4 linked regions of the Drosophila melanogaster genome follow. The protein of the gene in region 4 interacts with the protein of the main gene of each other region in a pairwise test. Each region holds a gene or a part of one and is shown on either strand. Other genes may lie near its edges. The genes, in order: lig, CG6733, spaw and CG12521.

What was found.
Region 1: the proteins of CG12521 (region 4) and lig interact in a two-hybrid assay, tested with the Drosophila melanogaster proteins (one large-scale study listed by BioGRID).
Region 2: the proteins of CG12521 (region 4) and CG6733 interact in a two-hybrid assay, tested with the Drosophila melanogaster proteins (one large-scale study listed by BioGRID).
Region 3: the proteins of CG12521 (region 4) and spaw interact in a two-hybrid assay, tested with the Drosophila melanogaster proteins (one large-scale study listed by BioGRID).

Annotation. Positions count from the first base shown.
Region 1 is NT_033778.4:8,066,885-8,077,584, reverse strand, and holds lig (lingerer), read right to left. Parts: upstream 7,757-10,700; 5' UTR 7,687-7,756; coding exon 7,306-7,686; intron 7,251-7,305; coding exon 7,073-7,250; intron 6,765-7,072; coding exon 5,347-6,764; intron 5,223-5,346; coding exon 4,807-5,222; intron 4,459-4,806; coding exon 4,351-4,458; intron 4,219-4,350; coding exon 4,114-4,218; intron 3,986-4,113; coding exon 3,885-3,985; intron 3,612-3,884; coding exon 3,085-3,611; intron 2,174-3,084; coding exon of another isoform or gene 2,168-2,173; exon of another isoform or gene 2,113-2,167; coding exon 1,978-2,112; intron 1,921-1,977; coding exon 1,795-1,920; intron 1,726-1,794; coding exon 1,477-1,725; intron 1,293-1,476; coding exon 909-1,292; 3' UTR 543-908; downstream 1-542. Other genes in the region: CG17977 (uncharacterized protein), read left to right, coding at 10,141-10,242, 10,292-10,459. UniProt on the Drosophila melanogaster protein: Acts in the nervous system to mediate the control of copulatory organs during courtship.
Region 2 is NT_033777.3:23,094,717-23,101,135, forward strand, and holds CG6733 (uncharacterized protein), read left to right. Parts: upstream 1-3,011; 5' UTR 3,012-3,042; coding exon 3,043-3,133; intron 3,134-3,190; coding exon 3,191-3,682; intron 3,683-3,741; coding exon 3,742-4,159; intron 4,160-4,216; coding exon 4,217-4,421; 3' UTR 4,422-4,475; downstream 4,476-6,419. Other genes in the region: CG17110 (uncharacterized protein), read left to right, coding at 1-78, 134-338; CG17109 (uncharacterized protein), read left to right, coding at 1,017-1,107, 1,167-1,655, 1,716-2,133, 2,193-2,397; CG6738 (uncharacterized protein), read left to right, coding at 4,858-4,948, 5,003-5,494, 5,548-5,965, 6,019-6,223.
Region 3 is NT_033778.4:8,357,897-8,365,731, forward strand, and holds spaw (spacewatch), read right to left. Parts: upstream 4,261-7,835; 5' UTR 4,204-4,260; coding exon of another isoform or gene 3,328-4,203; 5' UTR 3,027-3,327; coding exon 1,617-3,026; 3' UTR 1,572-1,616; downstream 1-1,571. Other genes in the region: CG11635 (uncharacterized protein), read left to right, coding at 711-1,571; hubl (hug-bell), read right to left, coding at 3,328-4,203; whip (whipple), read right to left, coding at 4,617-5,117; swif (swift-tuttle), read right to left, coding at 5,595-6,449; cola (comas sola), read right to left, coding at 6,614-7,393; boly (borrelly), read right to left, coding at 7,722-7,835.
Region 4 is NT_037436.4:11,845,522-11,850,958, forward strand, and holds CG12521 (uncharacterized protein), read right to left. Parts: upstream 2,283-5,437; 5' UTR 2,194-2,282; coding exon 1,993-2,193; 3' UTR 1,862-1,992; downstream 1-1,861.

The sequences.
Region 1 (10,700 bases), on a different chromosome or scaffold from region 4:
ATATACACATATTCGCTGATTATATACACGGCAGTATTATATTATAGTAAAGGCACATGAATATGGATATGCATCTGATTATGGCGGTGCGGCACGACCCGTTTTCGGCAATCGACATCTTTTATTGGTCGCCGCTTCTGTGGTAAACATGCAACTAGAGACTAGATGATACGTAACATATTCTTTCGATGCGACAGATTACATGGGTATGAGACATGCGTGGGAGGGTTAAAATTATGCAGTTCACCAAGAATTAAGCAACTTTACACGTGATTACAACAAAGGAACTTACCCGGCGGGATGAGCTATGAATCCTGCCGTCCATCTAATAGTTGTCCCATAAAAAATTAAAAGAAATTATAAAGAAAAGTCAAACAATAGAACAGTTTCATGCATTTCTCAATTATATGCCTCACTACCGTCGTATGAATTAAGCCAACAAACTTTCCAAGGACACTCTTTACTCGTACTTCTGCTGATGCTCCAAATCAATTTCAAAGTATCAGAAAATGCATGAAATGTTATTTGTTAGTAACGATCCCAGGTGAAAAAGAAAAGGTTTAATGATTGTCACACATAAAATACTTTGGGTGTTTGTTTTACAGATGATGTGCGTAGATAGGTAATAGAGGACTTACAAATATATGCTTGGCGGTTAGTGTTGATAATGGAAACAATTTACAAATACATGCGGTTCAACAAATCAACTCCATAGCTACAGGGCAAAAAAAAAACTGGTAAGTGTGATTATCCAGGATTAGTGTAGGTATAAGCTTATTTAAGGACATAAACCTATATGTAATCACAGTCAACAAGTGTACAATGTATTGGCGGGTGTGCAGCTACACAATTGGTGAAAATAAAATTGATGTGTTAACAATAACAAGATGAGTTCCCTAAGCATTTCATCAGTCGGCGAAGAAGGACAAGTCGTTGTTATTGTCATGAACACAGCAGTCGATATTAGGTTCAAAGTTATTGCAATGAGCGGCAACGAGCTGATTCTGACACTGGACAGGTTCGGTTTGCCAGATCCGGTGGTATGTAACTTGAGGACCGTTCACATTCCCATGAATGAGAACATGACTTTCCGTCCCTCCGCCTACAACAACCTGAAGTGGTAATTCTGAATGTACCTGGTGGATGGGCTGATGGATCATATTGTGGTGTCCGGCCGCTGGCATCGGCAAGTACATGCCGTACGGTTGGGCAGAGGTGCCTCCAGCCGTCTGAGTGTTGGGCATGTTAAACGGGGGCGGAGTGCCCGAATGGAAACTCTGCTTCTCGTACGACTGAATAACGAAAAATACAATGGTACAATGTAGACACGTCGGGAGATAAGGTGTTTTAACCAGGGCTGTGAAATCTTATTGTTGTATTGTTTTTTGCTCAAAGATAATTGAAGTCTTTTAACATCGAATTCAGGCTATGATGACCTGCATCCAAATCCACAGCCCTGCTTATAACCATACGTACATTAACCTTGTTCAGCGCCACGTGTCCTTTTCCGTACATAGAAGAGGTCAGATCGGATCCAGTGCCTGCCTGCGACTGGTTGGACACAGTCTGAGTTTTGCTCTGCTGATTCACGCTCGACGAGTAGCCGCCCTTGCTGTAGTCCTGCGTGGTCTGCGACAGAGTGTCATAGCTGGTCGAGCCGTAGCCCGCGCTATACGAAGGCTTCGGGAACTGTTGACCGGAGGCAGTGTTTGCTGCCGGTATTTGCTGAAATTGAATAAGTTTAGACGTTGATTAGATACTGCATACAAAGTGATTTGAATGTAATAGGCTTACTGGATATATGGCGGGCGTGCCATATTGAAAACTACCGGGCATTACATTGCCACCATAGAAGTAGGCGTAAGGAACATTTAGCATGGGCGCACTTGAGCCAGCCTGTTGCGACATTGTGCTGGAGACCTGCAAAATAAACATTTTTACCATCTATCGATCTATCTATCTAAGCTGAGCACATACATTGCCGACCGGACTGGAGTTATTGTCAGTGCGGGCAAAGCGTCCATCATTCATAGCAGAATACGTCACAGAGCCGAGGTTGTCACGTCCAGCTCCTAAACTGGCCGGCGGATAGTTCAGATCGTAATATCCCTGCTGCAATTGAGAATTATAGCATTAGGTTCGTCTTCACGCGAGCATTCTGGGCGTGTTATGGCTGTGAAGATGATGAACGGATCACTTTGTCAGAACTTCTTACCGAAACAAAATAAATATGTGATAAAGGTCTGACAAAACCACGTGTACCAGTTTCAACAAAATGAAATACGTTATGTTCAATGTAAGAAATTTATACATTAGTCAGATGTTAGGTTGAAGAAAAAAAAAAGGGTAAAATGTTAGTGATCGAATGAAATGGGTCAGTAAGGAGCACAGATTTCGTTGTAGTTAGGGATGCAAAGTAATTCAAGTATATATATATTTATATTTTAAGGTTATATTTCTTCGATTTGAATTGGCTTTGCATCCCTAATTCCACAACTACATTGTAGATGGAAACGAGGAAGAACGTTCGGATTAGTTTTTGGTTAATTTTGAGTGTAAAGCAGAGCCTGGGAGGTAAGCAATACATGTGGATTGTTTATCTTTTTTTTTTTGTGATAATGCCAGGAATGTGGAACTGGATGAAAACGGAAGCGGATGGTGCAGGGTGGCGAAGGAAAGTGTCAGCTTTTTACACAATCACACACACACATACATATTCAAACAGACACAGACTTTTAGGAGGTGGTATAATAAGGACTTGATCACAGACATCGCGGTATATGTATGTTATTATGTACAATGCACGCTGAGAAACGGTTAGGAGTGGGAGGCCGCAACGTCAACGAGCCAGGATCCGGATTAACGATTTCGATCAGCAGCGGGAGGCGAGCTGGGATGCGCTGAGCAGTTGTCGTATGCGTTTAAATTTTAAATGGAACTAGGTCTTGACTAATGCGAAAACGTTGTATAATGGGAGCATATTGATACGATTACTGTTTGATTAGAAACGGTTCGGTTGATTGGTCGGTTGCATTATGTAGTTGTTGGTTTGATATTTGCTTTTGCTTTTCTCCATGAACTCACCACATGTGGCACTCTCTGTTGCATCATTTGCAATTCCTCGTAGGAATACACTGGTTGCTGATAGTATGGCAATCCAGTCTGAATATATTGACTAACCATTTGGATGTTGGTGGGCACCAAGCCGCTACCGCTGCCACCACCACTACCAGCACCACCAGCACCCGACGAGCTGCCCACGCCGCCGGTGCTTGCTCCCGCACCTTGTCCGCTGGCGTTGCCCGTCGTCGTGGCAGCACTGCCACCGCTGCCGCTGCTATTGCTGCTGCTGGTGTTCTTGTTGGTCAGCGAGGCCAGCACTGCAGCGGTGGTTCCCGTGGCTGTCTGGGCAACGGTCGCTGCTCCCACCGAGCTGGCGCTGCTGCTGTTGTTGTTCACATTCACACCGACGCTGGACGCGCTGCCACCGGGCACGCCGACTCCACTACTTACGCCGCTCTGGCTTACGCCTCCGCCCACGCCAGCTACGTTGCCACTCGCAACGCCTGCCGTCACATTGCTGACCGAGCTGCTGCCGCTCACGCTGTTATCTGGAGAGGACGGAAAGGTTTTAGTTTAAATGCGAATACTAAGAATTCGGCCAAAAATAGAGCATTTCAGCTAAACAAAAAGTTTGAATCAAAAATTATATTTATTTTGGAGAGTTGTATTGTCAAAGCCGTGGCTAGATTGAAGTAGATTTGACATTGTGAGTTTGTTTTTAAATATTTTTGATATGGGATTTCTATACCAGAAAGCTTAATGACTGCAATGCATACTCTTTAGGGCCTCAACTGTTTGATATTAAATCATCGATTACTTACTGTTCGATACAGCCGCCTGGTTAGCACCTGTTTGACCGCTCACCACACCGCCATTGCCTGTGCTTCCGCTGTTGCTGCTCACTCCGCTGCTGGTTGAGACACTGAAAGGTCAATAAGATCAACATTAAGTGCTACAGGCATCCGCCTCTAAGTGGGATATGACCAGGGGGTTGGGTTAGTCGGAATATTTGAAAAAGCGGGGCATGCAGAGCGGGGGTTTCGCTCTTACCTGTCGTAATGAGCGGCGCTACTGGCCGTGGTCGCATCCTTTAGCTTGGCGCTGGCACTGAAATTGGCGTACTGCGAGGACGCGTTGCTCGCACTGCCAGAGAACCTGAACGAACGGGCGAGAAGCCGCAATTAAGCATAATGGAACCAGAACCAGTCCAAACAAGCAAAATAAGGTACGTGTCATCCCCAGGGAACTGATCGTATTGGGATTGGGATCGTCACATTTGGTACTTACCCGCTGCTGTTGGACAGTCCAGTGTTGCCATAAACACTCTGGCTTGACTGGTAAGCACTTTGTGGTGTCGAATATCCGGATGTGAGGTAGGCAGAGCTCGCATTGCCGCTGTTAGGTGCGGAGCGCGATTGCGGTTTGGGATTTTTGGGACATAAGCGAGCATTAAATGTGTTAGGAGAGAAGAAAAACAGTAAACAAAATGAAGATTAGCTCTCTTTCGGGTGGGGCTAATTGTTAAGCAAAACTTGCATACACACAAATATTTAAACTTTGAAGTAAAAGATATATTCGATAAGGTTTGTACCCTTGCTGAGTATAGTTAGTTGTTCCTTGCCAAATCGACTTGTTGCTTAGAAATAATTTTTAAATTTAAGAAATATGTAACTACGAATCTCTGCAAGGGTACGTACCCTTTGGAATTAAATATTAAACAATCAATACTGGATCATGTCATACCTCGTGCTATTTTGGCTGCTGCTGCCTCCAACCGGAATGTTTTGCGTCGCCGTTCCTCCGCCTCCGCTTACCGCACCTGTACCGCTTTGAGCCCCGCTGCCAGCCTGCTGCTGGTAGGAACTGGGCTGGTATGAGCCGTATCCCTGCTGCTGGTAACTGTTGGCTACTGAGCTTTGCACATTCGCGTATGTGGAGCTGCTGTAGCCACCGGGCGCGGTCGTCGGAAAGCCACTGGCTGTCTTACTCGCTCCACTGCTCTGGTACGCGTTTTGGTAGGCGTTACCACTGCCGCCCGTCTGTCCGTAGGGATCGCTCTTGGTCAGCTGATCGATTGTGGCATTCACCGCTGAGCTAACGCCCTGCTGCTGCTGTGACGTCGAACGGCTTGTATAGCCCGCTGCATTTAAGGCATCGCTCTATAAATGAGGAATGCTATTAGATTCTCAGTAATATATGCACTATGCTAAAAACTATCGTATTAACTAAATCATGGTGACGATGATTACTTGGGTGATTCAAAGGATACAGTACGGTACTTACAATCTGCGAACTCTGTAGACCTGCCGCTAGCGTCACCTGCTGCTGTTGCTGGGACTTGCTCTGGTAGTCATCTGGCTGCTGTTGCTGCTGCTGACCATCAATGCTAAAGCCCGAACCAACCTTCTCCGGCAATGGCTCGAAGCCATCGTCCGTGCCGAAGTCCAGAGCGCCGAACTGCACGTCCAGGTAGCCAATGTTGTTCAGTGCATTGTCTCCGGGCATTTCGACGGCACTCGCAGGAATCTTCGAGGGTGGTGGCAGCTTAACACGTGCCCTCCGTATCTGCGGTTGCTGCTGCGATTGCTCGGCAGTGCCAGCTCCAGCTGCCGTTCCAGAAGCGAATACGTTGGCATAGGTATTGGGGTACTGGCTCACACCCACGCTAGTGCTAGTTTGGGAGTAGGCGGCCACGGGGTTTTGCGCGTAACCCGCTGGCGCCGATTGCACTGGAACAGAACCTGGGCTGACGCCCTGGCTGGCCAACGAGTTGAAATACTGAGATTGCTCGACCGACAAAGTAGCCGACGGCTTGATAGGCGTCGTCTGCTGCTGAAGTTGCTGCTGCTTTTGTGCTTGATGCACCAGCGTGGCAGCTGCCGAGGCGGCGCTTGAGAATGTGTCGGGAGAGGCGGATACAAAGGATGACGGTGTGCTGCCTGCTCCTCCGCCGGCAGCTGCGCTCGCTCCTGTACCCGCTCCTGACTGTGTGCCCTGGGACTGCAGCTGGGGCGGTGGATTACTGACCGCTGCGCTGTATTGCAGCAGCGGCGTGGTCGCCGAGCCGCTCAGCGTTGCTGGCGGTGTGACCGCCGCTGGGCCGCTGCTGGAGCTCTCCTCCAGATGAGATCCCTGCTGCACCAACTGATGTTCAAGGCCCGGTGGCGCCGATATCTCGGTTCCAGCCGCCGCAGGAACAGCTGTAACACTCGCGCCAGTTCCGCTAACCACGTTGGCAGCGGATTGCGTTGCCAGGTTGCTAGTGGTGAACACCTTGCTGTCCTTGAGCGAGCCCTCGTACTCCTCGTTGTTCCAGTCGCCCCAGGCATCGTCATGAGCCTGTTGCTGCTTCTCGGCATTTTGGGCAATGGTGTTGTCCCACAGCTCAACCTCGTGGTGATCCTCGTTTGCATTGCCACCGCGACCTGATCCATAAGCACCACCAGGGCCTCCGCTGCCGCGATCGCCACGCGGTCCACCGGTGCGTCCCCCCATGCGGCCGCCGCCACGGCCAGAGCGAGAGACAAAGCCACCACCGCGTCCACCGCCACCGGGACCACTGCGTCCGCCGCCGTTGCGCTGCCCGCGGTAGTTGTCATTTGCCCGATCGTCACCGCGGTCCTGACCAGCGTTTTGCCCGGACCAAGGTTCGCGAGATTCGCGCTGGTTGCGCTCATTCTCACGAGTCTCTCTTCCGCGCCCTACAATATTAGAAATCAAATATTAATTTATGTTCAGAGGATTAGGATAAATATCATTTACTAAAATTATTTCATCAATTTAATATTTTCTCTAATTACAGCTCGCGCATGACCAACAAATGCTGAACCTTAAATGTCAATCAGCATTGGAATATTTAACGATCTTAATTTTTATATATGTTCTACATAAAAAGAAACGTTATTTTTAGCAGTTTTACAATAACTGTAATGCAGAGCTTAAAGATCCAAAACGTTTAGTAATGCCCTAAGAAACGTTTTAGTAAATGAGCGTGGCTTATGATACTTACATCCACGACTGTCACTGGAGCCACGGGTGCCTCCGCGATTTGAGCTGCGGTTTCGCGACTTTTCCCGCCTGTCCGCATTGCCATTGCCATCGGCCCAATCGCCATCGCCAGCAGCACCATCAGCCGTGTTATTTGCAGCCTTGTTCTTGCGCTTTTTCTCGTACTTGGCAAAGGCGCCCTAAAACAGATTCAATTGAATAACTGGAGCGCGGGAGATTAGAATCGAAACTAACCTGCGGTAGCTCCTCGATCAAGAAGTTGGCCGCGGCCTCCAGGTCGTAATCGCACTCGTTGAGGGCACAGCAGACCTCCTCCTCGGAACGTTGGGTCATGGTCAAAAGAAGGAGAACCTTCTCGTTGATCTGCGGATCCTCTGTGGTGCTATTGGTGATCTGGGCAATGCGCAACTGTTCGGTGGTAGCCTTGGGCTGGGCCTTCTCTGGCTTGTCTGTCTTGCTGGCATCCTGGCCTCCCTTCTTGCCAGCGGCCGCAGCATGTGAGACTCCATCGTGATGGCCGGTTCCTCCTCCGCCGGAGTTGCTGGCATTTGACTTTTTCTGGTTGCGGGCATGGCCGCCGCCTCCCCCGCCGCCTGAACGAGTTTGTGTGCTCATCTCTATGTACACTGTATATACAAATTAGCTGCAATACGAAAAAGATGAAGGATTCGATCTTAAAACCAGGGAATCTACAAACTGACTGATAAAAATTTAAGTCTGTGCTGACTGGATTCTGAGTATGGGACTCTCTGGGTTTACTTAATGTTCTATAAGTAAAATAGTAATATCTAAAGATCAATGCAAATAAGTAGAGAGTAATAAGTAATGATTTTTGGTGTTGCTGATTTAGAAAGTTAGCCGCCTGGTTCGCTTCTGTTAGTTGATATTCAACTATAATATAGCAGAAATTCAATTGGAATTTACAGCGCATTTACATAAATTTTTTGTTGGATAGAGAATAATGAATGGTTAAGATCTAAATCTTGATTCGTCGGCGTGGAAATATTAATGGTAAACTCCCACAATCCAGACAGCTTTTATCTGGGAATGTGTTAAAATGGCTAAACAAGTGGCCGAAAGAGAGCAGCAAAGGAAAAGTTGGCAAGATGAGAGTTCAATGTACATTTAATAAAAGAGAATGAAAGAACGTGAACAAACAGACACACGCCGAAGCAAAGAAGTGCGAGAGGAAGGGAAGATCGTACGCACAAACAAAGCGAGCATTCAGAAATAACAAAAATAATGAGGGGGGTGAAAAGTGTATTGGCAAAACAGGTAACAGAATGATTGCCGAGGGGGTGGCGGGGTACGTGACCACGACGCATCCAAGCCGAAACGTCAGTTGGCATTTCCAGGGGGGGTGGTTCATGGGAAAGAGAGCGGGAGAGGCGACCCCGATACCAAGTGCATATCTGAATCACTCAATTTTTGTTGTCAAAACAGTTTTATCAACGTTTGCCGTGAATAACGCCTTTCCATGCATTATTCATACACAGACACACGCGCGTACTGCCGCACACAAACAAAAGACCGCTGTCGCCATCACTTTTCCATCAGGTTTCGCATTTCGCACGTACACCATGATATGGAAATTTGACCACGGGAACTGGGGAACTGCGATCCGAGACCCGGAAACTACTCAATACCAATTGCAATGGGAATCGCGGTGACTGACATACACAAAAATTGATTTATAAACTCCTTGGCCTCTTCGCTTCGGTTTTTCGCTTTCGCTTTTGTGCTCGCTTTTCTGCATCTGTCCTAGCGGCATCTCCCTCGCACCCGCACCAGCGCGGGCTGACCAGTGTTGCCAGGTGCGAACAAAGCGCAGCGGCACTTGGCAAGGCCGTTAAATTAACCAACAATCGGAGCACAATGATTGGATTCGTTAACGAGGTAGCAGGTCCTAGAGAGGGCAAACAGCGTTAGCTACAATATCTGCACAAACGCACAAATTCACGGCAGGACTCGGATGGCACACATCACTAGGTACGCTCCGGCACTTGGCAACACTGAATGCGAGGGCATTGAAACCGAATGAAGCGCACAAAGTGGAATGCAAAACCGGACAAAGTGGCGTACACTGCGCCGAAATAAGCGAAATGTACGATTCGTTGTTGGCGAAATTTGTCCAATATGTGACATACCCGGCAAGGATAACGCACTCCCAGTTGCACATTGCGGGGCAAACGGGATATATAGCCTTAATAGACCCAGCCATGTGCACATACTTCGACGCCATTTCTGCAACGCCACACTAGCCGACTCTTTCGCTCTTATGTAAACCAAGGGACCCAGTAATTGACGACGACCGCCGCTCCAGACAGCGGCCACTATTGAATTTTCAACCGAGTTTTTCGCTGACAAGCCCCCGGGAGACATGTCGAAAACACGTTGCACAGGTGGGGGGACACTTAAACTAAACTTTAACACCTCAGCAGGGTTCCGGTCACGGCTTTAAATTGGATAAACAAATTTTCAAAACGGAGTCACACTCAATACCTGCAAATGCGCCGAGAAACGCACTTTTAATGTGACCGCTCGTTAGTCGATCGATATGGCTTTATCTGGGCATGCAGCCCTGGACTCAGAAATCTAGCGGTGCCACGAATCAGTTTTACTAATTTTTAAATTGATAACATTTCTATACCATTATTAAAAGGCTTCAAAAAGCTAATTTATCCAATTTTCCATTAGCTAATATAAGCAGCTTACCTATTAGAAGCTGATTTCGATCTTAAATATGTTGTATGCTCCTTGTTAAAAGGTTTTGAACTCGTATTAAATCAAGTGGTATATCGATACCAAATGAAAAGTTGTTGGCATTTGCACACCTCTATCATCAACAAAACATACTACTTTTGAAAAAAAAAACAAACAAAATCAGTTCATTTACCAAACTATGGACAAAATATTGCATTTGATGACAAAACATTAAGTATATTTACCCAGGCGAGCAATGAGCACACACCAATGCCCCAAATATTCGAGTGACGACGACGTCGAGATATTGAAAGATGCAATGGAGGAGCTGCAAAAATAAGCTTGAAAAGATCCTAAAAAACCAAAATGACTTTTGCAAGGTGGAACTGGACTATTTTCCCGTGTATGATCCCGACGAGCTTTCCAATCTGGATGCGAATCTTTCAAAGCCGGGCAATAGCACAAAACGTAAGCCTGATTATTGGGGTATTACAAACTTGATCTTTTTGTTTTCCAGGCTCATATTATTCACCGCATCCTGAGGCCAGAAGGTCGAATAGAACCGCTGAAAAACAATTTGTCAAAGATGTTCAACTACGATATTCTCATGGCTTACAACTGCGACGGTGAGCTCTCAGTCAGCAGTCAGTCATCTCATACAAATATATTAACGAAACTATTTTTGGTGAGTTAAGTATAGCTTTGTGCAGATTTAAAGCATTCATTTCGTTTACTAAATTAGGTGTTGCTATTTATAATTTGGCGTAAAAAAAACTATCCTGGCTTATAAGCTAATGGGTCAATTTAGTTTATAATTACTAGTCATTCTAAATAACTAAATTATATTTGCATGGGATATTTTTATGCTTGAAGACCGCGATGGTTCCTTTTTTATAGTGCATCAAACTTTCCATATCTATTATATT
Region 2 (6,419 bases), on a different chromosome or scaffold from region 4:
GAAGTGCCCCTCGGTGGTGACCAAGATAGACGACTCCAATCCCTACTGGCTGGGCTTCAAAAAGGGACTAGATGAACTGTAGGTAAACAAAGATTGTGTAGTTTTCACTTCATAATTTGTTGAAATTTTCCAGAGGTTTGATCACCCATACACGAGTTTTCCCCGGCGCCACCGATAGCTTCTACGTCCGGCAAGTGGGAATTCCCGCTCTGGGATTTTCACCCATCAACAACACCCCGGTGCTGCTGCACAATCATGATGAATATTTGCGGGCCGACACATATCTGCACGGAATTCAGGTGTACAGGAAGCTCATCCCCTCTATTGCTGATTCATAAAATGTTCAAGCGAAGTTCCACTCATAAATGGAAATCAATATGCTACAATTGGTCTTATCGCTTATGAGTAATGTTTTTGGCTCGATGAGTGTAGGACCAAAATTAAATGTTTAAATGGTGTGACTACTACAAATCATATCTGTTTCTAAACAAATGAAAATCACACACTGATAACACGAGTTTCAGAAGAGAGTTTTTGTCATGGACTTTGCCCTCATTCAATATCCAATAAATCGTCACAACTATTGATATCGTTCTCAAAAACTAACGTAACCTTCACGTAAAGGGGTTGTATTTTATATATACATCATAATTATCAATAATTACATTAATATGTATTCTATTTTCTTATCAAACCAAATACAAATTATAATAACCCATTTTTTCGCAGACCATAAACGACGGTGGTTGAGTTTTATTGGTGTTATGTGAACTTTATCGAATTGGCTACCGTTTGCTATTAGACATTTGTTTTGGTAGAATTTTGTACAAGAATATGTGCTGTTATCATTTCTATAACAACCGAGTTTGATAACGAACTCATTATTTGATAATAATACGAAGCCAAGGCCATAAAACCAAAATCACCCAACACACAAAAATTTCTGTATAAGTTCATTTTTTGCCAACTGCGGCACATTCGAGTTTGGTGACTGGCAGCGAAAACATATCCACAAAATGAGCACCGAAAAGTGGGAGGACAACGAGGAAATCAAAATATTCCGCGAATATTTGCGCATAGCTACGGTGCAGCCAAATGTGGATTACAGTAAGGATTCCCCAAGGAATTCACAGAAGAGCACTACTCATGTACATCTTAACTTCTAGCCGAATGTGTGGAGTTCCTGAAAAGGCAGGCTCACAGCCTGGATCTTCCCGTGGATGTTATATATCCAGTGGAGAAGAAGCCTGTGGTGATCATCAAGTGGTTGGGCACCGAACCGGAGCTGCCCTCCGTCATTCTCAACTCGCACATGGATGTGGTGCCGGTGTTCCGTGACAAGTGGACCCACGATCCCTTCGCTGCCGATATCGATGAGGAGGGCAGGATCTTTGCGCGCGGTACTCAGGACATGAAGTCGGTGGGCACAGGATATCTGGGTGCCATCCGCCTGCTTAAGGCAAGTGGTGTCCAGCCCAAGCGCAATTTCTTCGTGACCTTTGTGCCCGATGAGGAGATCGGCGGCGAGCTGGGCATGCAGGAGTTCGTCAAAACGGAATACTACAGCAACATGAATGTTGGTTTCAGTCTGGACGAGGGCGGCACCAGTGAAATAGATCTGTTCTATGTCTTTTATGCCGAACGTATGCGATGGGGTGAGTAATCCTTGAGACACATCTAGGACTAGAATCTAAACTATATCCCCTCTTTGGCAGGTCTCAAGCTGAATTTCAGTGGAACCTCTGGACACGGCTCCATGTTGCTGCCCAGCACTGCCGGCGTGAAACTGAACTATGTGCTCAACAAGCTGACGGAGTTCCGCGAATCGCAGGTTCAGAGGCTGGCCAATGATCAGACAATCAACATCGGTGATGTGACAACTATCAATCTCACCCAGCTGAGCGGTGGAGTCCAGAGCAATGTGGTGCCTCCTCATTTCGAGGCTGTCTTCGACATGCGTCTGTCCATCACCCTGGATGTGGTTGCCTTTGAGAAACAGATCCACGATTGGTGCGAGGAGGCAGGTGGCGGCATCGAGATCTCCTTCGACGAGAAGGAACCCTACGTGGCACCCACAAAGATCGACGACTCCAATCCATTCTGGCTGGCTTTCAAGGCTGCCACCGATGAACTGTAAGTCTGAATCGAATGCTCAACAATGCGTGTTCCTAATACGATTTGTATGTTTATAGTGGCCTTAAGATCTACCCCATTGTCTGCCCCGGTGCCACCGACAGCAGGAACATTCGAGCTCAGGGCATTCCAGCCTTGGGATTCTCACCCATCAAAAATACCACCATGCGCATCCATGATCACGATGAGTTCTTGGGCGCCGAAACTTATTTGAAGGGCATTCAAATATACAAGAAAATTTTGGGCAACCTAGCGAATGTCTAAAAACTAAATCGAAATAATACATGAAAACCTTATCAAAATAAAGATTGATGATTTTGTTATAAGTTAGTACAAAACTTCCTGGCCTTTTATCTTATCTCAACGAATACCTTAATCAACTTAAGATCTGAAGAATACAACTTGCTATCCTTGCGACAGCAAGTAGATAATGGATGTATCTACATTTTGCTGTATCATCATAGATAGCAAGTTGGAAGACTGGGAAGCCCATTAAATCCAAAATAATCACTTGATTTTTTCAAATCGAAGGTCATCAATCAAAGCTTCGTCATTTTAATTGAATTTGTCATAATTTTACGATATGATGGAAAATATTGAAAAATACATGACAACTTACCAAGAACTTGAGGTTTCAAAGGTTGAGGTTGCATAGATAATACGCAATGAACTCATTTCTGTGTAAGTTGCATAGATAATACATAATGAACTATTTGCCGCTTAGAAAAGTTACTTATTCGGATAATAGACGTGTGGGTTTTGCAGATAAGGGCGTTACTATCGCAACCACATACACTTTTGATAAGCATTTAAATTCCTTGACCATAAACATGAAAGCAATCAGTGTGATTATAAAAGCACAGACAATCTTTGTTGCAGCTCAGTTGCTGATGACAGAAGAGTGTCGAAATGAGCTCGGAAAAGTGGGAAAACAATGAGGAAATTAAGATTTTCCGGGAATACTTGCGTATACCAACGGTGCATCCAGATGTTGACTATAGTGAGGACTTAATTTTAATTCTTTAAAGTTTGCGTTATAATGTCTTTCAATGTCTAGCTGCCTGTGTGGAGTTCCTGAAACGTCAGGCTAGCTCCCTAAATCTTCCTGTTGAAGTGGTTTATCCTGCTGTTCAAACGAAGCCCGTTGTGATCATCAAGTGGGAAGGAAGTCAACCCGAACTATCGTCCATTGTTCTCAACTCTCACACGGATGTGGTGCCAGTTTTTCGAGAGAAGTGGACCCATGAACCCTTCTCCGCCGATATTGATGAAGAGGGTAGGATCTTTGCACGGGGTACTCAGGACATGAAATCGGTGGGCACTCAGTATCTAGGAGCGATTCGCCTGCTGAAAGCTAGTGGCTTCAAACCAAAAAGGAATTTGTATGTGACCTTTGTTCCCGACGAAGAGACTGGTGGTCATCTGGGCATGGCGGAGTTTGTTAAGACGGATTACTACAAGAAAATGAACGCGGGATTCAGCCTGGACGAAGGCGCCACTAGTGAAAGTGACGTTCATCATTTGTTCTACGCCGAACGTTTGCGATGGGGTAAGTTCCATAAGGATGATGATGATGGATTGGGGACATTACCGTTTCGCTTTATGCAGGACTCAAGCTGAAAGTCAGTGGAACTTCTGGTCATGGTTCCCTTTTGCTACCCAATACGGCAGGAGTAAAACTGAACTATCTGGTCAACAAACTGACTGAATTCCGCACCTCGCAAGTGGAGAACCTTGCGAGAGATTCCAGCCTCAGCAAGGGCGATGTGACCACCGTGAATCTCACCCAGTTAAGTGGCGGAGTCCAGAGCAATGTGGTTCCGCCACTTTTCGAGGCGGTCTTCGACATACGGATTGCCATTACTGTGAATGTGGTTGCCTTTGAGAAACAGATTCGCGATTGGTGCGAGGAGGCGGGTGGTGGCATTGAAATTGATTTCTTCCAGAAGGAGCCTTATATAGGACCCACCAAGCTGGACAATTCCAATCCCTACTGGCTAGCTGTCAAAGCCGCAATCGATGAGCTGTAAGTACCGACTAAAAATTAACTATAATGGCTAATCGAAATCCTCCTGTGTTTTAGTGGATTGAAGGTTCATCCCATCGTTTGTCCTGGCGCCACTGACAGTCGTTTCATTCGGGAGAAGGGTACCCCAGCCATTGGATTCTCACCCATTATAAACACCACCATGCGGATCCATGACCACGACGAGTTTCTGCAGGCTGATGTGTATCTTAATGGCATTGATGTGTACAAGAAGATTATTCGCAATCTGGCTGAAGTCTAAACAAAATGTTTGAACTACATGGATCGTGGCTATAATAAAGATGGGCTAATTACTAAAGTGTGCCTCGTATCTTCATTTTAGAGAGTAATCTTATCAAAAAAAAAAAAAGATTCAAGAGTTTAATTTGAAATTCCGTGTTTATCTCAATATTGTTTGTTGATTCTTTGACTTTCGCCTCCTTGATCAAGATATAAATGATTCTGATGGGAATTCTGTAGCAGATTGTCAACTATACTGCTTCTTGTCACTACCTCGACTGCCATCCAAAGTGACTTGCAATATAGTCAGAATTGGAAGAGATCTGCCGCCCATTGATAACGATTTTCTTATCATATACGCATAATCACTTTTGTGGCACGATCCAAATGCATATAAAGACAGCGGATGCCTTTAGCTGCTTATTTCTACTTTACCATCCTAACGATTCATATTAAAAATGAGTGCCGAAAAATGGGAAAAGAACGAGGAAATTCGAATATTCCGGGAGTATTTGCGAATTCCATCTGTACACCCTAATATTGATTATAGTAAGGTCCTTATTTTAATATTTCCTTAAATGCATTAGCACTATTCATTTTTAGCTGCTTGTGTGGAGTTTATTAAGCGGCAGGCAGATTCCCTCAATCTGCCCGTGGAAGTAGTTTTTCCAGCTGTTAAATCAAAACCTGTGGTGATCATTAAATGGGAAGGAAGCCAGCCAAAGTTGCCCTCAATCATTTTAAGCTCGCACATGGACGTGGTTCCTGTATTCCCGGAAATGTGGACCCATGAACCCTTCTCCGCCGACATCGACGAGGAGGGTAGGATCTTTGCACGAGGTGCTCAGGACATGAAATCGGTGGGCACTCAGTATCTAGGAGCTATACGCCTGCTGAGGGCTGATGGCTTTCAGCCGAAAAGGACGCTCTATGTAACCTTTGTTCCTGACGAGGAGATTGGAGGCATCCATGGCATGGCAGCGTTCGTTGAAACTGACTTTTACAAACAAATGAATGTGGGATTCAGCTTGGACGAGGGTGGAACTAGTGCTTCTGATGTTCATCACTTGTTCTACGCCGAGCGTATACGATGGAGTGAGTAGCCCGTTCAGCTTTCACATCAGTTGATTGAACTTCCCATTATTCAGTTCTCAAATTGAAAGTTGCTGGAACCGCCGGTCATGGTTCTCTATTGTTGCCCGATACAGCCGGAGTTAAGTTGAACTATGTGTTGAACAAGCTGACGGAGTTCCGTGAATCGCAAATCCAGCGACTGAAAAACGACAAAAGCCTGAGCATCGGGGATGTGACCACGGTGAATCTCACCCAGTTGAGTGGCGGAGTGCAGAGCAATGTGGTTCCACCGCTTTTTGAGGCCATTTTCGACATACGTCTAGCCATAACCCTGGATTTGGTTGCATTTGAGCGGGAAATTCGAAATTGGTGCGAGGAGGCAGGTGGAGGCATTGACATCGAGTTCCCACTGAAAGAGGCCTATGTGGCGGCCACCAGGCTGGATGATTCAAACCCCTATTGGTTAGCTTTGAAAGTCGCTCTGGATGAACTGTGAGTATACGTCAGATACAATAGAGAATCTTTAATAATGTATCCTTTTTCAGGGGTCTTAAAGTTAAGCCGATAGTGTGTTTTGCAGTCACCGATTGTCGTTTTATTCGCCAGCAGGGAACCCCAGCAATTGGTTTCTCACCCATCATAAACACTACAGTACTAATCCATGACCATGATGAATTTTTAAGGGCTGATGATTATTTGAATGGCATACAAGTTTACAAGAAGATTATTCCTAATCTCACTGAAGTCTAGCCAATGTCTTCTCTCTGTCCAATAAAACTTTGTTGAAATACTGGAATTTTAATGTTCTTAATTTAACATTTATTAGTCAAGCAACATCAACATCGGGTAATGTTGAGTTTACATAAAGATAAATCTGTCGTAACAATACACCTTGTTTAACCAAACACTTTAACGATATTAACACCGCCTTGGCTTTGATAAGAAT
Region 3 (7,835 bases), on a different chromosome or scaffold from region 4:
CGCGAATCTGTGCCAAATTTCGCATAGGCACTGCCTAGCCAACTTAAGGCCAAATCGAAAAACCGACAAAACTGAATAACCGTTGCGTGCCTAGGCCCAGTCAGCGTCTTTCGATTTGGCCGTGCCTGTGTCTTTACACTGGAAAAAATTGCAACCAATACGGACGAATAGTATACATTCAATACTCTTGTTACTGTTTGTTTATCATCGTGGATGGATTTATCTCGAGTTGATTATCTGAACTGAGTAGATATGCGAATTCTGGATATGTTTATTGTATTTCTTCCAGTGTGGCCTGCCTTTTCCTCCGTCTATCTGCGCGTATGGCCAACTCCGCTGGATTTACTTGACTTGGCCTGGCTGATTGGGCGCGCGTTGTTTTGCATTTCCAGGCCAGAAACAGCGGCTGCGTAATAAAATGCATTTTAATTTGGCTAAATGTTCAATTAAATTTAAACATGCGCAGTCCGCTGTTTGCAATTTTGTGTTGCCTGTCGCCGTTGCATTGAAGTTGAGTTGCAGGAGAAGTGAATGTGTGCGACAGGACCCTCTTCCGATTTTCTCCAATTTTCAACCAGCTCTTTTTCGTCCAGTAGGCCTCGATCGAAATTTCGGATACCAAGCAAAAAATTTTAATTTAGCGATTCATGTAACGGCGTTACGGTATACAAAAATTTTCAAAATTCCACTTTCATTAAAAGTTTCGGCTAATGTTTTGGTCCTCCCTACTAAGGGGCTTCAGCTCACGTCAGAGCGGCTCCTCGAATAAACCCCCAAAACCTCCAAGTCCACCGAAGCCACCATCGTCACCATCTCCACCAAAGTCTCCTTCTGCCAAACGAGAATGCAAGATCCGGACGCACTGCATTCCGGCCGCCTTCTGCGCCGAAGGGGATAAGTTCAAGTCGATGTGGGATCCGCCGAAGAACCTGCCTCCGCCGTACCCCTTCGTGGTCAGCCGATCAAATGACTTGTGCTGCGAACCCAACTGCACCAAACCACTGCCCTCATTCGACGAGCTGTATTACCGTCCCTCCTGCAAGAACGGTCCTTACCAGCGCCACTGGGTGGAGTGCCCCAAGTTCATGATCCGCAAGAAGATAATCTGCGCCTACGACAAGCTGGAGGCTCTGAGCCCCGCCCGTCGGGTGGCCGAGCGGCGCGAGCGGACAACGCTCAGTGCCACAGCCACAGGACCATGTCCCCATTTCGCTCCGTTGGCACGATGCGTGCCAGGACGTCGTCCGCCCAGATGCCACGCGGCCAAGACGCCCTCCTGCTGCCGCAGGTTGTGTGCACCGATGCCCTGCTGGTCGGATTGTAAGCAGCCTAAGCTGGCCAAGCGACCATATCGACCTCGCGAGTGCGAGTGCCGATTCCCCCTGAGCCTCTGCGAAGCGGAGCGGGGTCGTCAGTGGGTCAAAATTCATGGTGAGAACCACGTCTGTCCCAGTGCCATAAAAAAGGCCAAGAAGGCGAGAAAAGACATGCTCAAGAAGATGAAAAAGGATAAGAAGGATAAGGGCACGGATAAGAAGAAAGATAAGAACAAGGATAAAAATAAAAAATAAGTTTTAAAGGTTATGTTTATTTCTTTGGTCATTGGTGCTCTTGTATTACTCGGTTTCAGCCTCCAGAATTGTTGCTTTGTACTTGCTTTGGCCAGACTCCAGATCGATTAAAGCCTGCTTCAGAGCCATGCGCATAAGTAAGCGGGACTCGGACTCGGTCAGCTGAGCAGAAACTTTGTACCGTTCTCTATCTAAATGGATACCTGTGCCGAATTGGGGTTCCTGGTTCAACGGCTGCTCTTCAATTGACTCGGTGCTAAGGCTACTAGTAGGCTTCTTGGCAGGAACTTCGATAGTCCTAAAGGGCCTGTAGGTGTGTATGGTTTCCTTAGGCTGAGTGTCCTGCGTGTCATCAGTCTTGGGAGTATTCTCATTGGTTTTTGAAGGACTGGACTCTTGAGTATCGCCAGCAGACGCAATTTGCTCGATTTTGTGAGATTGTTTTATTAGCTCCTCCCCGAAGTCCTCATCGGAAATCGAAGACTCTGAAACTACCGAACTAGATTGATTAGTTATTTCACCGGTTAACTCAGAATCCAAAGACTGATTTGCTTCCATCTCGTGATCCAATTTAAGTTGATCGGTGATATCCCTCGTTAGTTCGGAATCAAAAGACTGGTTCGAAATCTCGCTATGATCTAGGCTCTCTACATCACCCAATCCAGATGGTTCTGAGAGCGCACTGGCTACCTCCGAATGCATAGAATCTGCAACACCTAGCTCAGATTGATGGGAACTAGCTCTATCCACTGACTGATTTGATTCCTCCTCATGATTCAAACTTTCACTGATTTTGGGTTGGTTGAGTGCAAAGGAAGCCACATCCGGTTCAGAGTTAACCATCCCCATTGTTTTTTCACCTCCTCCCATAGTATTCAAAATAAGTGAAATCTGACTAAGCTCTTGCATCATGAAGTCCACATTCCTTCGAACGGATGTGAGAGATGTTTTCTCAAAGCTGGTAAAAGGTTCTTGGGACGCCTGATTCTTGACAAGCTGTTCTCGCAGGGAGCGCGTTCTTGCGAATTGTAATTCTTCTTGAATTCCTGATTGGTCTCCTTCAGCGAATGGCAACTGATCATCCTGAGATTCATTGTTTGGCTGCCGGTATGGATCCTCCACCTCATTAGGACTTGGTAGTCCTGCCAATTGCTCCACGTCAAGCTCGTCATTTTTCCAGCCCCAGGATGCAGTTATATCGTCATTGCTATCCTCTTTGTTCTCTTTCACATGATGAACGTTTTCGTCCTTCGCCTCCGGCCATACAAATAGGTGACTTGTGTGATCCACCTGCGTTTCCTTTTTGAATTTCTTCACACTTTCCGTTTTGTCCGAAACGTGTGGGATAATGGTCGACTCCGAACTGTCGGACAACAGTCGCCAAAGGTTTCGGTGAGCAGTGCTGGAGCAGATGATTCTACGCGATAATCCGCAGAAAACCGAGAGGCGAGGCATGTTTTAATTTTGAACGAGGCCTAGAATTTTGAATTTTAAACAGGGTGCCGGATGCCAATTGAATGAGATATTAGATGTACCTCAACTGACAGATTTTCAGTTGGGTTGCTGGGATGGGGATTCCACAGGGATACCCAACACCACCAGAAATCATAAATATAAAAAGAGTTTATAAAGGTTTATGATTTCTGGTGAAGGGCTTGCCGTTCAGGACTTTGGTCTCTGTTGGAATTTTTGTTACATTTTGTGTTACAAAAATTCCAGCGAAGACCCCAGTTACTATAACCCTGGGATACGGTCTTCATCTTCCCCTGGAAGTACACGGCCAGATGCTTATGTCGTTGTTTTCCATGTGCCGTCCTCGTCGGATCTGCTCGCACTGAGACGCCTTTTTCAAGCACTCACACTCTGGTGGCCGGGTTGGGATAACAGCGGGATCCTCCTGAACGCATTCGGAGTAACTCGGGAACGGGCACTTGATCTTCTCGCAATCGGAAGGACCGGGGAATGCCCTGCAGTCGGGCGGTATTCGAGCGGTTCGACAACACGGCATACGGATACGCATGCAACCTTTGTACCTTTTGTTTAGGCACTTATAGCGCTTCCTCTCATGTTCTGCGAGACAAGCGGATCGCGGGCAGATGGGCAAATCTCGCCGCAGGACCTCCGGTGGAATGGCGTCGCACCAGCAGCAGACCCGCTTCGGTACCATTTTTGGACAGCATTCCCACCAGGTGCGCTGGAACTCCCGGCACTTGTCCGACGGTGTATAGTACAAAACGTCAAATCGCGTATCCTCACACTTTGGACAGCACTCCTCCGGGTAGTGCCACATAGCTTCTGGCCGATTACTACCATCATCCTTGTATCTCTTCCACATCGAAACGAACTTGGTCTTCTTGCTTGGATCAGCGCATGGATTCGCCGAAATGCCGGTACTCACGCAACATGAGTATCGCGGCTGGGTGCAGCCCTCCTCGCTGCAAGGACGAACAGGTGGATCCGTGGGACTGCACGGTCGCTTCTTCACCACTTTGCAGTCGGGAACCTCACTCACGGGACAGAAATCCTTTCCCATCCTCGCCATTAGGGCGGTAACGTGAATAGTTCGACAAGTATCCTCCAGTGCTATAAGGCTGGGCATAAGCACAATTCTCTTGGCCAAAGAGTTGAGCATGGCTGGTGAACTTAAATTTGAGTTCCTTCTCGTAGAGGAAGTGTTGCCGAAACGAATGAAAAAGTATGGGGTTAAGAGTTGAATATGGGGTTTCTCATATGGGGTTGTCACCTAACATTTTCAGTCAATTTCTATGTGTGCTTCTTATTCGGAAGACCGTAGTTTGGTCTACAAAATTAAGCTGCTAAATACATTCTACAGTATTCATTACCAGACTTCACTCCGTATATAGGCCAATGATTAAAAAGACTATTGCTTTACACATTACATCTTTAATACGGCTAATTGTGGAGAATCTTGGACCCCTGATGCCAATCGCAAGTGCAACCCAATCACTACGCTAAAATGAGCGTGGAGTAATTGGTCTGCGTATGAGTTTGGCATCAGGATCGAAAACTTTCATTTTTTTCTGGTTAATAGCAGTCTCGATACAGTTTTTGACGATCGAAGGCAAGCGGATGAGAAAACGACTTCTTAGGCAGACTAGGACAGTTCGGAGCCTGGAATAGGCTGACAAATGGAGCTGAGTACCGCCCACCCTCCGGTTTCTTCCAATCTTCAAGGCCTCTCGATTTGTTGGGGAAGAAAGCGTGATTTCTAGAGAAGTTCAAGCGTCGAGGTTCGGTCTTTGGCAGCAGGCGGTCCTTGGCCCTGGCACAAATCTCATCCATGGCCTCACGCTGGAATCTCTGTCCGATGCTCGTGATGGTACCCATCGGCTGCCACTTGTTGGCCGACTTCGATGGGGGATGGTCCTGGCCAGCATTGTTCATTGGCTTCAGGAAGGCGGTAGTTGCTTCGCTCCTTGGCAAAGGACTTAGCACATTATCGACGCAGTGGGACTGATTCCGCCCCACGGGAGGCTGAGCACGGGAGTAGCGGACGAGGAGCTTGGTCAGGCGCTCAGCACACATCGTGGCCAATACAGAGGTACCCATCTCAGATCCTCACCAGTTCTCGCTGGCTTCTTCTGCTGCTTAGTTTCCCTGAATGCTTCGGTCTGCGTGAGAGATGGGTTGGGTAGTATCTAAATGGAAACGTTCGATTTGGAAGCCTGTTGCTTGATTAAAAAATGGGTGACTCCGAAATAATCGATTCATTTTATAGATGACTGCAATGGCGTGGGTGACCTTGATGTAAAATACTAAAAATCCAAAAAAAAGCATAAAAATAAATTTAATGAATTTTTATTATATGTTTTATTACAACTCATAAATTCAATTATAAATTTTGTATGCCAAATTGTTATTATTAAGTAATTTCCATGGTTTTTTGTTAGGATCGGATACCTGACTGCTAAAGCAAATTAATAGAAACATCACTTTGTATCTATTACTTCGTTTTAAAAGCCAGACCCTCAACTTGCACTTTTACGTGTTTCGGTAGGATTATCACAGATTTAATCCATCGCGTCTCATTCTTTCCGCAAGAGCTATACATTTCGGGGTGGTCTCCAAGCAAAGGCACTCTCTTTTTCGGAGCGGTCTTGTTCCTCTTATTTTTTCTGAGTAACAAGGATATGGAGCTCGCAACTTGGTGCATAGGGTAGGCTTTCTGCCTCTGGAGCAACGAGGATTGCAGCGAGCCAGCTTGCAACAGGGGTGAAAGAATTTCGGACACTTCCTCGTTGGGTCCCGCTCCCATTCTCCATCCGCACAGAGTAGCCTTCGAGCCTTATAGTTGATTTGGCAAGTTCCTGGGCAGGGCGGCCTGATCCGGTACAGAATCTCAGGAGGTTCGATGGCGTCCAGGCAGCAAACCTTCTTCAGCCGTTTCTTAACGGGTGAACACTCCACCCAGGTGCGTTGGTAGCAGCGGCACTTGTTTGAGGGATGGTAGTACATCGCATCGAAGCGGGGCAGCATTTCCTTGCAGAACGGCTGCTCGTTCGCCTTGCAAGGTGGCTCCCACATCGAACGGAATGGCTTCTCCTCCAGCTTTGCGGCTTTGGGTCGTCTTATCTCTACGCAGGGATTTTTGGCCGCCGATCGCAGGACACAGCATTTCCTCTCCTTCTTCTGATCGCGTTCTTGCTTCAATAACCTCTCATGTGGCAGTTTGAGATTGATCGTTTCCCTGGCCTGCACGCATCTGCCGCTTGGAACATGATGGCACAAAGGGTCGACAGGTTGGCATGGCGGATCCGCGTGGTAGGTCACTTTGCTGGCGAAGCTTCTGAAACCTTGCGCTTTAGTGGCAAAGCTCCTGAAACCTTGTCTGCAAAAGATCCACAGTGCTGACTGCATGCTTAAAATTTTGAGAATTTTGATTTGGCCTAATGATTTTTCGAAAGCTGTCGAACTTGTGAGTTACTAGGCCGGGAAAACTAGGTCACTGGTTAGGTTACTTCCGCATACTCTTTGTTGAAGAACCTCTAAATAAATCAGACGACTGCACACTTAGGAATCTCTCAAAATGGAAATCGCATCCTGGATCGTAACGGAGAATACCCTATTAACGGCTTGGTGCAGTTCCTGCGCGACTTGTTGCACATATTATACGTGTTCCACATTTCACATAAGCTCCCTCCACGACAGGCACACTCGGAGCCACAGAATCGTGGTATCAGATGGCGGCAGGCCTCCGAAAAACTAGGCATCGGAGTGAACTTCTTGCAGCATTCGGATGGCCTCCGCGGCTTGGTGCATTTGGGCGGACGTCGACCTACTTTACAACAGGGAGCCCTGACGGACTTGCAAAAGATACTCATCTGGAAGAGGTGCTTTTCAATAGCCGAAAGTGGTGGTTCCTGCGGGGGGCGGATGCGGCGATTCATGGGCTGATATACCTCCTGATCGGGACAGCAATAGTCCTTTGGTCGTAGCCAGAGGAGCGGACACTCTGGCCAAGTCCGTTGGAATTTGCGCTGCTTATCTGACGGCTTGTAATGTTCAGCGTCGTGGCGGATCAGCTTCAGCAAGCAGTCGGGATTGGTCTTGCCTCGATTATAGATCTCCTGCAGATACTGGGAGTATTCTTCTACTGCAAAGGATGGTTTCTCGTAACACTTGTTGGGCTCGTACTTGACCGGACAGAACCATTTTCCATCCTTGCAGGCCGTGGTATCCTTGTCGCGCATCTTGCAGCACTCCCCAGAGCTGGCATCGTAGCTGCCCCAATTGTACCATCGACTCGTGATCGAAAACCTGGGAATCTGTGCTCGGCGCAGGCGCAGCTTCGAGGTGATCATGGTGCCTGCCTTTTTTGAATATCTAATTTAGAGAGGCGTTAGCCGAAAGGGTGAAGTTCGAAATTTGAAATGAGGCGGCGGGTATCTGACATGCTAGCCAAAGGACTCTATGCATTGGACCCAAAATGTCCAATTTATTTGTTGTAACATGAGAAGAGATTAGATAGTTTGATTTAACTGATTACGAGCTTTAAACGAAAATAACTATCAGTGGGAAGGAATGATGTATACCCAAAATTAAGCCCGCTTTAGTCCCAAATAATGTATATCCTATTGTTTATTCGAATCTTAGGTTTGGCAATTGGTAATTGTAGGAAGACCTAGGCAACTAGGATTTCTTCATGCGGTAATAGTTCCAAACCACGCACATGGGCGGCTGGTTGATGCAGAAGCAATGCGTCGGCGGAACATCGGGAAGCGGATACGGTTGGCACTCCGAAAA
Region 4 (5,437 bases):
CAACAGAAAAAAATCTGAAAGGAAGCTGCAGCTGACAGTCCAAAGCACTCGGAAGGACAGATGGGAGGTCATAAGATTATTTTTACTAGTGACCCGATGACCGTAAAAATGAACGCCCGCAGCAGAAGCGACGAATCTGCGGTCGAGCGTACTCGCTCATGCGAAGAAGAGGACATCCTGCAAGCGAACTGGAGTCCCATGTCCTGGTTGTCCACCAATTTGCTTTGTTGTCGCAGCCCGTCTGCCGTTTTATGAACTGCGAACTTGTCATCCGCCTTCGCCCTTTTATTTCATAACCTACCCTCATTTTGGCATCGGAGTGGGCTTAACTTCCCGGCGATGATATAAACGAGGCTGGGATCATAAAAGTTTACGGGCTGCTTTGGATTGCACGGCGGTATCGCCTCGAGTGTCATATATTGTTGAACACTTGAAATTAATGCGCCATTGACACCTTCAAAAATACACCGGAAATTACAAAATTTAACACTTTATGTGGTTGACTGGGGCACATATATACGTGCACCCATGTTTGATATACATAAAACAAGCACATTCAATTTTATAGGGTTTATATCTTAACTAGGCTTTGGTTCGACAATGAAATCTATTTAGGAATAGCATATTTTAAGCCAATTTCTATTTTTATTATATTCAAGTTTAGAAGAGATACTCTATCTTGTATAGTAAATTGCTATTGGTATTACAATTTACACCGCCATGGAAAACCAGACGTCACATCTGATCCCTGCCACTTTGCTTCAGCGGTGGTCGCATCTTGGGACACACATCAAATAACACTCGGTTCGCAAAGTCCAGGCTATCGATCTTATCCGTTCCGTGGACATCTTGAAAGTCTGGACTAGTCTCGGCAAAGGTTTCGGGATACGCTGGCCAAGATTTCCTATAAGTAAATCAAATCGATATAAACAAATGTACTGTTTATAAGCTCGCCGAAATTCTAAATACGAATCTACACACTCAGATTAAAAATTAAATGTATCTCAGTGAAATTCACTGGCGATGAGAATAAAATGTAATCGAGCCTCGCAGATTTCATCTACCTGCCAGAGGATATATGCATGTATGTACATCTTGATGTATGTACATATGCACATTTATGTGGTTATAAAATGGCAACAGAAGAGGGGACGAGGCTGCTTTTCACCTCTGAATTTAATGAGCTTTCACGGCACGTGATTATTAGGCGAACGGTCGTACGTGTGGGATTCTTTACCCAAAGTTAACATCCCATCCCGGTTACAGGTGCTGACAATTTCCCCAACTTCACGGATCCGCGGCAGGAAAAGTGTTTTTCCTTCGCCGCACTCACATCCTCGTGGGCGCTATGCCGGTGGTAGTCGTAGTTTCTCCAGCAATCCACACACATCTTTACATATTCGAAATTTTTCCCTGCTCCTTTTAAGGCGAAACATAAACAATTTTTCGCGACGCTGAAAAACTTTTAACTCGCTCTGTCCGTAGATTTTGCACACGTGCTGCTGCTTCGCGCACCACCACCTACGAAAATATATGTACGTACATACATACATATGTACATCCCATCAAGGCAGAAAAATGTATGCAGAGTTGCTTTGCTACAGCCAGTAATTTGAGATGCTTGAGGGCAATGAACAGGATGAAAAAATACTCGTAGCTTTAAAATAAATGATAAATTGTCAATCTGTAGCAAGTATTTTCTTTTCAGTTATGAATATTTACTTTTCCCCTAATGATATTTGAGCTTAAAACAACATACATGTGCATAGTTTTCATATGTCCGTCTTGAAATAATGTACAATGTGTATTTAATCACTTTTAAGCACATTTGTTTCGAAATTTATTAAATAACTATTTCACTCACGGACGGAAATAAGTGTCGCCGCCGACACGATCAGTTTATTATAAATTATAGTTCAAGAGATTAAATTCACTCAAATCTCGAATAAGTTATTGCATTTTAAATTTGGCACATAACGCATGTTAAGATCCTTAGTGCCTTCGTCTCGGCTTATACGACTTGTGGCTATGTTTTCCGTCTCCAATATTTTCATGCGCAATGGCGAGCTCGGTTTGCGAATTGATCACCGCCGTCAGTTCATCGACGATCTCGTCCAGGGTGAGCGGGTGTCCATTGGCCACCATAATGGCCAGGATGAGGGGCGCCAAGATGTCGTTGTGGCAGCCATCCATTGTGCTTCCTTAGCCGGCAGTATTTGAAAATTTCAAAAAAACAAAATACAAAACGCCAGAGCTCAATTTGGAATATTCGATCTTTGTGCCCGTGCAAATTTATGACATCTCGGCTGACATGACCATCGTGGACTACTTTGAATGTACATATGTATGTATTGTATGTACGTATATGTATGCACACTGCTTGTCGGGTTTTTCCAGTGGAGTTGTGCAGTTGCTGGGTGAGGGGGAATTTCAATTGGAAAAGTGTCACTTGTCAGTTGGTCACCGTCCATTCTGTTTCACCCTTTGTTGCTGCCTTCGACACCCATGCTGTGCTGCATTTTTGGTTGCGATACATCAATACGCCGGAATAGGATGGTTCATGGCGTTGTGGGTGGGGACTGCAGATATGTAAATTTCGTATGCAAATTACTCGCAAGTCGGAGACTTGCTCAGTTGATAATAAGAAAACGAGACTATTAGATAACCGTTACTCAGCTGGGACTGTGAACGAAAAATTGTAATATGTTTTGTGATATCGGTAAAAAAAATAATAATATGAGGGAAAAATTTGACAAAAGTTTGGGCGTGGCTATATGGGTCAAAAAAATAGCGCTGCGTCTATGTCTCTAGAATCTGTATATATCTGTATATATATATATATATATAATATATATAATTTAAACCATAATGGGTACACAGACAATAAGGCGGTAAGAACGACATCTTCTTATGAATACGGCAGATAAGAAGAGAAGAAAGATGACTGGGACTCATCATTTGTGCCCATCACAGATTCAAATGGTGTAAGGATCAAACATCAAAAATACATAAAAAAATCTATTGAGCCATATAAATTTCGTTAAAATTAGTGAACTCGATTTTTAACGTGTTGAGCTACCGTGAAAAAACGAATATATCTAATTAATCATATCTATCTAGGGAGAACTCTTCATGTACAAAAAGCAGATTCAGTATTATCATTTCATTTTAAATAAACCTTCACCTTTGACCTTGTAAAGGAAGCGTTCCATTCGGATCAGATACTTTATCTACGATTTAAGCTTCTACTAATGCTAATATTAATACTTAATAAAACGACTGAGAATGTTGGGTGTTGGGGTATATTTAGAGCACACATTTTATGCTGCTATGTAGCGCAAATTTCGGTCACATGAAGCGAGTTTCCACTTATCAACTGCAACACTAACAACAGGGGCGAAAATCAACAAAAAATTCCGCTCATTATAAATGTCATCAGGCATTATTTTGTCCATCAACTTGTCGCAGTTGTCGTGGCACATTCTTTATGGCTTTTTGCTTCTGCGGTCCGGAGTTGGCGGCTCAACTGACTGGCCGGCCATGTTGAGAGCCATTTATAATGAACAGAAAAATGAAACAGGAAATTGAAACCGGACTGGCGTGTTAATGAGAATGCGATGCCAGGCCGTGCTCGTCTCCTTAACGGTCAGTTCTTAATTTTCGCCTGGGGGACGTCCATTCTCTTTTAACAGCCTCCCAACTGCCAGTGGATGGATTGTCGTGGCTGTTTACGCCGTGAAATTGGGCAATTACTTTTAATGGCCAATGTAACCGTTAACGCAGTTATGATGATGTCCAAAAGTTACGAGCCCTTGACTTTACTTCTTAGAGCTGCTGCAAATATTTCATCTAAATATTAGAGTTAAAATAAATCAACTAGCATTGCAGACCGAAAAACCACAACCATTTTCGATTATAGCGAATTAAATAAACAAATTAAATTTTATTTTGCAGTCTAATTTAACCGGTAAATGAGGTGGCTTCCTTATTAATGCCACATTCTAACCCATAACTTCCATTCTAAGCATTTTTCGCAGACAATACTCGTGCATTCTCGTGGGACTTCTGAAAGAGCCAAGCTTCATCCACCAACCACCATGTCTGTGCAGAACAATTAGTGACTCTATTAAGACTTCGAAAACTGTACAAATTGAACAAAAGCCCAGCGGATTGGGGTCCACAGCCAAGCAGAAGCAATCAAAACAGAACCTTTTAAACAAAAAGCAAAAAAATAAAAAAATTTAAAAAAAAAACCAAGAATATTAAAACTTGGTGGTGTCGCTTCCTATTTGTATGGTGGGCGCTTAGTTTCATTAAAATTTAAGCGAAACTCAATGGACTGCAAATGCACGAAATTGGATTGGCAGTTGCCCACAGCAAGGACGCTGCTTCTCGTCGCCAATTTCCGGATCCTTTGGGAGTTCCTTTTTTTTGGCCTAAGAGTATCTGAAAATAAATACCAGGGAAGAGAACAATAAGACCGAATTGGCAAAAGGACTCCGTGTTGTCGCAAAGTAGTAAAGGCAAGAGGAACTTTGCGAACTTTCCCATTCTTGAACAATTTTGATTTACGACCACTTAACGTTTTTTATGTTCCCCAGACTCTGCGATTGTATAAGGACTCGCGTGTGTTTGTACTACTGGTATAGCTAAGCTGAGGTCGACATTCCGGAACTTAGTCTTCATTCCATTTACATGCAAGTACTTATAAAAACTAAAGTATCCAAAGGTTTTGATCGCTTGAGCATAAAAGATAGTATATGGTTAGAATACATGGTAAGACTGTTATTTGATATTGCGAAATTAATTACATATTTAATTTCATTAAATTCTGACCTAACAAAATTACGTTCATGACTGGTAGAATACCTCAAAAAGTTGAATCTGTTTTAATGTATTCACACGCTTATAAATTGCACACAACCAGCCCAAAATAGGAATGAAAAACAAAATGTATTTTTGTAGAATTTTTCTTTTATTTCCGGTTTATTTTTATGGAAATGCGTGTCGTTCTATTCGAGTGCACGCATTGCTTCTGCTGCATTTTACTTTTATTTTGCGTTTTTTTTTTTCGAGTGGTATATATGTATATATGTAGCTATGCATACACGAACAACATTTCGTTTTTTGATTTTGTTTTTCCGATTTTTCATTTGTGTTTTGTTAACTAACCTAATACAGATATTCAGATGGATTCACATGCAGCCAGGGTGAAAAATCTCATTTTAATTGAATTGCTGGCGTTGCTTACAGTTTTGTATGTTGTTTGACCCTATGATCCTGGCATAAATGCCAACTGCTGCAATTAATTCGTTTCGATGATTAATACAAGTATTCGTTTGTATTTATGTATGTGTGATGTTTGTGATTAAATATATTGCGCTTAATTGCGATAATTTGCGTGAATCATTGATGTGTGCCCTACATATATAATACA